Tribolium castaneum: one gene and its partner. The protein of the gene in region 2 interacts with the protein of the main gene of each other region in a pairwise test. Links are inferred from orthologs where the notes say so. Each region holds a gene or a part of one and is shown on either strand. Other genes may lie near its edges. The genes, in order: Pex7; phytanoyl-CoA dioxygenase, peroxisomal.

The links.
Region 1: the proteins of phytanoyl-CoA dioxygenase, peroxisomal (region 2) and Pex7 interact in a two-hybrid assay, tested with the Homo sapiens proteins (2 studies listed by BioGRID, with this or other methods). The link is inferred for Tribolium castaneum from reciprocal best matches to the Homo sapiens genes PHYH and PEX7.

Annotation. Positions count from the first base shown.
Region 1 is NC_087395.1:23,090,742-23,094,334, forward strand, and holds Pex7 (peroxisomal targeting signal 2 receptor), read right to left. Parts: upstream 2,047-3,593; 5' UTR 1,952-2,046; coding exon 998-1,951; 3' UTR 734-997; downstream 1-733. Other genes in the region: mucin-2, read left to right, coding at 2,350-2,366, 2,410-2,618, 2,667-2,861, 2,911-3,171, 3,218-3,593. UniProt on the Homo sapiens protein: Receptor required for the peroxisomal import of proteins containing a C-terminal PTS2-type peroxisomal targeting signal. Specifically binds to cargo proteins containing a PTS2 peroxisomal targeting signal in the cytosol.
Region 2 is NC_087396.1:19,983,684-19,988,148, reverse strand, and holds phytanoyl-CoA dioxygenase, peroxisomal, read left to right. Parts: upstream 1-1,519; 5' UTR 1,520-1,655; intron 1,656-2,230; 5' UTR 2,231-2,281; coding exon 2,282-2,289; intron 2,290-2,341; coding exon 2,342-2,458; intron 2,459-2,510; coding exon 2,511-2,622; intron 2,623-2,802; coding exon 2,803-2,970; intron 2,971-3,023; coding exon 3,024-3,167; intron 3,168-3,219; coding exon 3,220-3,354; intron 3,355-3,405; coding exon 3,406-3,543; intron 3,544-3,597; coding exon 3,598-3,672; 3' UTR 3,673-3,715; downstream 3,716-4,465. Other genes in the region: vacuolar fusion protein MON1 homolog, read right to left, coding at 1-238, 284-527, 574-771, 818-1,113; protein phosphatase 1 regulatory subunit 42, read right to left, coding at 3,716-3,831, 3,876-4,001, 4,049-4,400, 4,449-4,465. UniProt on the Homo sapiens protein: Catalyzes the 2-hydroxylation of not only racemic phytanoyl-CoA and the isomers of 3-methylhexadecanoyl-CoA, but also a variety of other mono-branched 3-methylacyl-CoA esters (with a chain length of at least seven carbon atoms) and straight-chain acyl-CoA esters (with a chain length longer than four carbon atoms).

The DNA of each region.
Region 1 (3,593 bases), on a different chromosome or scaffold from region 2:
GATAACCGGAATAAAGAACTCTACAAAATGGCATAGGACTCAAGGCGATATCTCGCAAAAAAAATTCAATTTTCAAACGCCGATTACGGCCAAACTAAAAGAGCTACAAGAGAACGGTTTGTTCCATCGTAAAGAGCACATCAAAATCTATAAGATAGAATAGGTTTCATTTGATTTAGAGACACTTTAAAAATTGACCGATTTTAAGGGGGGGGTGTCAACTTTTTTTTAATTTTTTTTATTTTCTCATTTACGGCTAAACTATTCAAAAAAGTGGGACTGTTTTGATCCTCACCTATTCAAAATGATCCGGGGAATCGATTGGCATCGAGAAAATTGCCAAATTCACGATAGTTTTTTACCAATTTTTGCATTTAGCAGCAATTTGCTCGAAAACTATTAGTCGGAGAACAATAATCTTTTTTGAAAAAAATAGATAATTTAAAGAGCTTTCCAATGATAGTAAACTTCGTAGGGTTATCTCTAATAGTTTCGGAGTTATTGCTCGATAAATGTTCCGGGTACTCGAAATCGACCAAAATCGCGACAAAAATTGAAAAAATCAAACATCAAAAAATATGGACTTTTTTGGACTTTTAACAACTCGAGTGTGTTGTATATGCATATAAAAGTTCATAAAACTTTGCTAGAATGAGTTTCAATTTTTTTTTCATATTCATGAAGGCAAGCGTCTCGACCATTAAAATTTTAAAATGGAGAGAATAAAAAGCAGTTAATTTTTTTACAAATTTATTTCAGAATTTTCAATACAAATATAAAAAATAAAAGCAACAAATTACGGTTAAAACAATTTAGAGACATTTCAGTCTTCGTCATGAACCCATAAAACAAATCAACATTATCTGTAAATTGGCTACAAGGGTCGTATGAACAAAAACCGTTTCAGAATAATCGTTGCCACCTCATTTCATTCATACGAGCCGACCTTCTTCATGATTGAACCAATTGGTCAAATATTAGGAACTGACTCCAGTCTTCAGTTATAACTATCGAGGCATTTTGGGGTAAAAACATGAACCAAACTGTCCCACCCGCAATCGGCCAGTTGCCCCTTTCTATGAGTATTCCAGTCCAGCCCATACACGAACTCCGAGTGATGCTTAATAGTCTCTAAAGCGTCACAACCCTGTTTAAAATCCCAAATCCTTGTCGTAAAATCGTAACTGACCGACGCCAGAACCGTGGCGTTATGCGGCGAAAACTGCACCCTCCTGACCGCATACTCGCACCCTTTCAATTGAAACACCGGCTGCGTGTAATTCCTAATGTCCCACCCGCGAATCAGTCCGTCCGACCCACTCGTCGCCAGCATATTTTCGTCGTATTTACACCAATCACAGGCCAGCACCTCCGCATCGTGCACCCGAAACGACGACGTGGGGCTCTGGGGGTTCAGGGTGCTCCAGAGCTTCAAGCTCCCGTCCCCCGACACGGACGCGAAGCAGTTGGGCATATGGTTGGAAAACATCGCGTTGTAGACCAGCTGCGAGTGGCCACAGAACGTGCTGATCGATGATTGTCGATTGGGGTCCCACAGCTTGATGGAGCAGTCCCAGGACGCGCTCAGGATGCGCTGCTCCTGCCGCGTCCGCGACCAGTCCAGCGAGTAAACCTCCTTCTTGTGCTCCCACAGCGTCACCGGGGGGCTGTTGGGCGACGACAGGTCCCACAGCTGCAGCCCGCCGTCCCCGGACGCGCTCACCACCAGGCTGGGGTTGCACTCCGACCACACGACGTCGAACAGGCCGTCGGACCATTGGTACGACTGCGTCTCGCAAAGCTTGCCTTCGGGGCTCACGTCTAGGATGAAGAGGGTGCCACCACCGGCCAGCCCGAAGTACTGGCTTGTCGCCACCACCAAGCGGTCGGGGTTGAAGGGGGAGAACCGGACGCTGTAGCCGTGCCGGTTCGGGGTGAGATAAGTGGCCATAATCGCGCACTTACGACATTTTCATTCTTTTAATATTTAAAATTTAACGCGGTTTGACAGTTGTCAAACGGCTGTCAAGGGCCGAAAGTGGCCAAAGCCACACCAATCGGCCGACAAACACGCAACAAAGCGCCCGCAGTGGCCCTAATTAATTAAAAATAACACGCATTGTTGTGCAATGTCTTTGCGGGGTTATAATTTTTATATCGTTTGAAATTTATTATTTTTTTTACAAAAAAAAAATGCTAAAAAAAATTGTGACGGTAACCACTTCCCAAAATTCTTGACATTAGGAGGTTATGTTGTAAATAAATTTGTTATCTGTTGAGGACCTAAAGGCTTGAAATATCGTTCTAATTTATTGAAAATGCGGTTTCGCTTAATTTATTGTTATAATTATGCCCAGAGAGTCAAGGTTAGTGTCTTACGTAGCTTCGTTTACTTAAAGTTTTTTTTAGTAAGTGTCGCGAATGGGAAAAAGAACGAAGGAATCGTTTAAATGAGGCTTTTGCCACGTTATGTAAATTATTGCCATGCTATGACCCGGCTACGAACGTTAGTAAAATCGATATTTTGCGTAATGCTGCCAGTTACATTGAGGAGCTCCAAACCAAGGTTAAAACCCTAGTCTCGCAAGACAATGACGAACCGGCTAAAAAAATCAAGGGTAAATTTTAAGGGTAGTTGACGCCACCAATTGTAGTCCCTTTTTTAGGCGAAGAGCTTAAAAAATTGCAAGAACGTATCAGGAAACTTCTCAGTAAAAATGAGCAGTTGTGCGCCCTTTTACGTGAAGCGAAGATCACAATCCCGCCAGGGTGCTCCCTCAGGAAGTTCAAACCTCCGTTTAATTGGTGTAATAAAATTATGCCCGAGCAGGCCAAGATTTTACAAAAGAAGGAGCTCGACAGTAAGGTGCAAAAAATACAAAAAAGTGTGTCCTTAATTTGGATTTGTAGAGGAAAATAATGCTTCGGCCAAGAAACTCCAAGGCCGCAAATTCACAAATAAGAGCCGGAACAAAAACAGCACGCCCAAGCACAGAAAAGCAATTTTGAACAGGTCCGACTCTAAAAAATTGCGCCCCTCGAAGAAAAAGAAAATTAAACCAATACCAACTTCAAAATGTGTGATTGTGTTGTCGCAACCGAATGCCACACAACCGTGTTACATAATCACAAACGCGCCTTCAAACAATATTTTGGGTGGTTCTTCCACTGGTAATTGAATGTTTTTGTTTGATCCATTCTAAAAAAATAATTTCAGTCATTACGAACTCAACTCTTGTTGCTAATCCTTTGGTGTCGTCGAAAGCGGCCAAGACCGTTGCTTCCATGCCGCCCCTCGGCCCCGGCACTTTGATTTTGGCCAACGGTACCATAATGCCGGTACTACCACAGCAAACCGTCCTTCCGCTCGCTCCTCAAATCATTACCAGACCGCCACCCATCATCCTATTACCGCGAAACCCCGTCACTACTTCCACCCCCACAACTACCGCCAAAACCATCACCACCACTACAAGTGTCAAGACTCTGACCCGCATCAAGCCAAAGTATTGCCTCACACGAACAACTCAGGTCAATAAAGTCCCGATTCCCGCACTGACTTCGCGTTATTCCAATCCCGAGGTCGTACTTAA
Region 2 (4,465 bases):
GGAGGAGCAAACACGCTTGACAGTCTTCAGCCAAGTAGGACACATGTCCGTATAAAAAACCACTAGCGTCAAACCGTGGAAGACATAACGGTGTCCAACTTTCAGCCGTTTTGAGGCTTTCGGAGGCTTGGACTAAGTTAAATATTAAATGGAGATCGGCCGGGTGAAGGCAATATTTTTTCATGCGGACTAGAGTGATAAGTTTATTGTTTGCGAGAAGTATTGCGAAAACTAGGTTCTGGAAACGATATTTTAAAAATGTTTTTTGAAACAATTTTTTTACTTTAATTTTGCTGCAAGCTCCGACAATGGCCGAGCTGATGTTGTCTCTCACTGAGGACGCAAGTGACAGACACTGGACTGCGCCCAAAGTGAACGAAGGCTCCTTCTCTGAGAAATCTAGCAAGTGGTCAATGAGTCTCTCAACACCTGCCAGAAGCCGTCTTAAGTCATAATTCTGGCGTTGCTCGTAAATTTTATTAAGTCTAGTCAAGGTTAAGACACTGGCTATTTGATTAAATACGTAGCTGCAATAAACAAAACTAGAAAAAATAACAAAGTGGGAACCCTCACTTTAGTTGTGAACACAGCTGATTTACACTTTCCTGCGTTCGAGAAACGGCGACTAAAATTAACGGTTTCTTAATTAAAAAGACAAACTTCGTGTCCCCGGCATGGATGCTCCTAATGGTGTCCTCATTTGACTGTACGAAGCTAACCAGTGTTTGCATAACACCGAACAACCAGGCTAGCTTATCCTCGTTTCCATATCTGAGACATAAGTTGTAAAGAAAAAAATTATGCAAACGATAACAACCTCGAATAGATGGGTTTCCCGGCCATGCTGAGGACAAAGACATGTTTGTTCTTACAAGCCCACTCCTTTGACTGGACGAAATCGTCCTCTTCGTTGTTAATTGAGAGATTCTCGCTGATTTCGTCAAAATTCTCGACGTTGCTGTTTTCCACGTTTGAGTCGTTTTCCGCGAGTGCATTCAGGTTTTTGATTTCTTCGAGGCTCGAGCTCATGTGATCAAAATTGTCAAAGGAGTCGGTGGTAACAAGGACACTCTCGGAGGCTGCCCCCGGCTCAACTTCCAGATTCGAGGACATTTTTTGTTGGGGGTTTTAGTTCACGTGAAATTCACGAACATTCTTGAAAAATCGTCGGAATTTTGTTGGGTTTTTGAGATTTCAATGCATTGCTCTTTGATTGATTGATTTCTAACCTCAACCTGACATTTTTTTGACAGTTGTCAATTTTGGTGCCAACCTTCTAACTAATACTTCTAACTAAAACTCTTAAGGCAGGGCTTTAAGGTGGTTAAACAAGTTAAGAGCAACTATTATATTAATTGAGTTTCCGCTTTTCCAAGTTTTTTAAATACGTAGTTATTGTGTAAAAAATAAGAGAATGTCATTTTTTATTTTATTGCACTACATTTTGGTTTCAAATTAATTTTGATTTTGGTAGTAGTATGTTATTTCAAACTTGAAAATAAATACATCACTGAAATACACTTAATTTATTTAAAAATATAGCATTACCAACCTTCTAACTAGATAAATAGTGAAATTTTAGTTAGATCATCTGTTGGGTATGCAGAGGTCAAGACTTTTATTATTTACTGTACTTTGCGTGCTGTGATAACGAGGTGAGTGTTTAACAACTAACAAACAACGATAATAAGAAAAAGCATTTGTTAGTTCCTTTTTACGCACAAATAATTATTATAGTGTGTTACAATTTGAGCGATATGTATATCTACGGCTTAAGTAGTAGGTACTTAAGTAACAAAATCGAGAAAAAAATAGACAGTATGTTTAATTATAAGTTTAAGGATCGGTTTACAGAAAGCGAAATTAAGATTTAATTCGAAATTAAACTAATTCGAATTAAGTTGCCATTTAAAATGCATTGACAAATGTCAAGTTAATCGCGATTAAAATTTAATTGCAATTAAAATTTTCTGTAAACCGGCTCTTACTGTTCTCGTATCATTGATTTATTTATTTAAACGGTGGGATGCTTGACATTTGATTAAAAACAGTACAAGTAAATTCAAAGTAATTGTTTATTATTGAGTATCTGTTCGATAATGTGTTGTTATTACTTACTACTGACACTGAAATCATTAAGTACATGTTTTTTGTATTGTTATAAATAAATGCTTCAATGACGCAACATAATTCAAGTGTATTTAATAAACAAGATAATTTTATGTTTTAGTGTATTATTCGGACAAGTTTCTTAAGAGAATTGTCTGCGTTACCGAACAAAATGGGAAGGTAATTTAGTTAAACAAAAAATTAAGTGCATATTAATAAGTACAATTTTTAGATTTAGGTATACTCAAGACGGTGGTGTTCTAACATACGAACAACGCCAATTTTATGAAGATAATGGATATATTGTGATAAAGAACAATGTTAGTCATGCCTTATTGGATGAAATTCAGTAATGTTTCCTTTAATTTTCTTTAAATATTTTATTATTATTTTTAATACAGAGATAGATTCATCAAAATATGCGACGGAGTGGCTGACCCTGGATTTATGACTGTTATGAAAGACCCTTCTTTAAAACATAAAGGTGTCAGAGGGCAATATTTAATAAATAAGGTATGATAATAAAAATTGCTACGTTAAGTTTTTGTGAATACAAAAGCATTTGCTGTTGAATGCTTCATTTTGTTCTATACTCATGTGTTTTTTTTAATATTTCTTTCAAAATTTTACATTAATAGTTAAGAAATTAAGTATTTATGATAGGAAACGCTGAAAACATGAAAAAAATTTCAGATCCAAGATTTTCTTTACGATGAAGTTCTTTTCAAATATTGTTCGGACAAACCAGTGGTTGATGTCATTGAGAGTATAATAGGCCCCAACATTACGGGGGCTCATTCCATGCTAATAAACAAGCCCCCTGATGCTGATCCTGGTGCGTCTTTGCATCCTCTACATCAAGTATTTTTTGCTTATTTTTCTAGTAAAATTTGAAATTGTGATAAAAATTTTAGGACCTACATTATTTTCCCTTTAGACCTGCAGACCGAATTGCAGCGTCATGGACCGCAATGGAGCGAGTCGATGAAAATAATGGTTGTCTTTACGTAATTCCCGGAAGTCACAAATGGGAATTGTACCCCCATACTTACCCTCAAGTATTTTTTTATTGCTTTAAAATTAATTAAACGTTTATTTTTTTAATTCAAGGGATACAAAAATCGACTGTATCATGGTGTTCAAGGCCTTGATCATTTACCAAAAGTGAACGTTGTGATGGAAAAAGGCGATACAGTCTTTTTCCACCCCATTCTTTTGCACGGCTCGGGACCTAATCGAACAAAAGTATTTTTTCTCGAATTAATTTCAGCCTAATTTTTAAACTATTCCTGCCAGGGTTTTAGGAAAGCGATTTCTTGTCACTACGCTGATAGCAACTGTTACTTTATCGATGTTAGAGGCACACTTCAGGAACATATCGCTGAAGAGATTGAAACTCTAGCTAAGAAAAAGGGGGCGCCTATGAAATTTGTCGTACGTTTGGTTGAGAAATTTAAAAAAACATGAAATTTATTTACTCATTTTTAGGAGATTTGGAAGGCTAAGAGCCGCTTAGTTAGGGGAATCCCTGGCAATTTCCAAAACTTGGAGAGCCATTTGTAAAAAATAACGGGAAAGGGTTAATAATTTGTAAAAATTGTAAATTTTATATTTTTAAATGTGAGAATAAAGTGTCGACATTTGACGATGACTTTCGTTTTTGCGTTTTTTTGTGATTCTTACTGAGCTGTCGCAACTTGGCAACATGTTGCGGCTTGGGTACTGCAAAATGAAGTGAGCAACATAAATGTGATAACAAAACTTACGTGTTCTCCACGGAATGTAAACTGCGTTTTTTTCATCGAATATTTCGTCGTCTAATTCCTTATTTTGCTTCAATATACTGATCGATACCGCTTTTTGAATGGCGGACGAGTAATTTTTCGACAATTCTGTACAAAAATTTGAACACGCGAACAAAACGCTCGTAAACATTTACCTGGAACCTTGTTTGCCAAATTTACGCTTTTGTGTAATCTCTGGGCGATGCGTTCGCCGTGAAGCCGCTTCAAAAAATTTCGGGTGTGGTCGGAAATATTTTTTTGGTCCAGTGTGTCTAAACAATAGGCGTTGGCGATAATTTCCTCCTTGTACAGCCGGTTTTTGCAGATGGGGTTGGCGGCGAGAACTAGGTCTTTCAAATAAAACCAGTCTTTTATAACTCCGCAAACCTCGTCAATGTTACTGAGTTCGTTATGAGAGGCATTGAACACTCTTAACGATTTAAGGGGCGCTAAAGACGAGATCGTCTGGATTTTATTGTACGATATATTGAGGATTTGGAGCGTGTGCTTTAAAGAAATCATTAATATCGGGGCTTGGATCAGTCTTACACGCACTGATAAGGCATTTACGC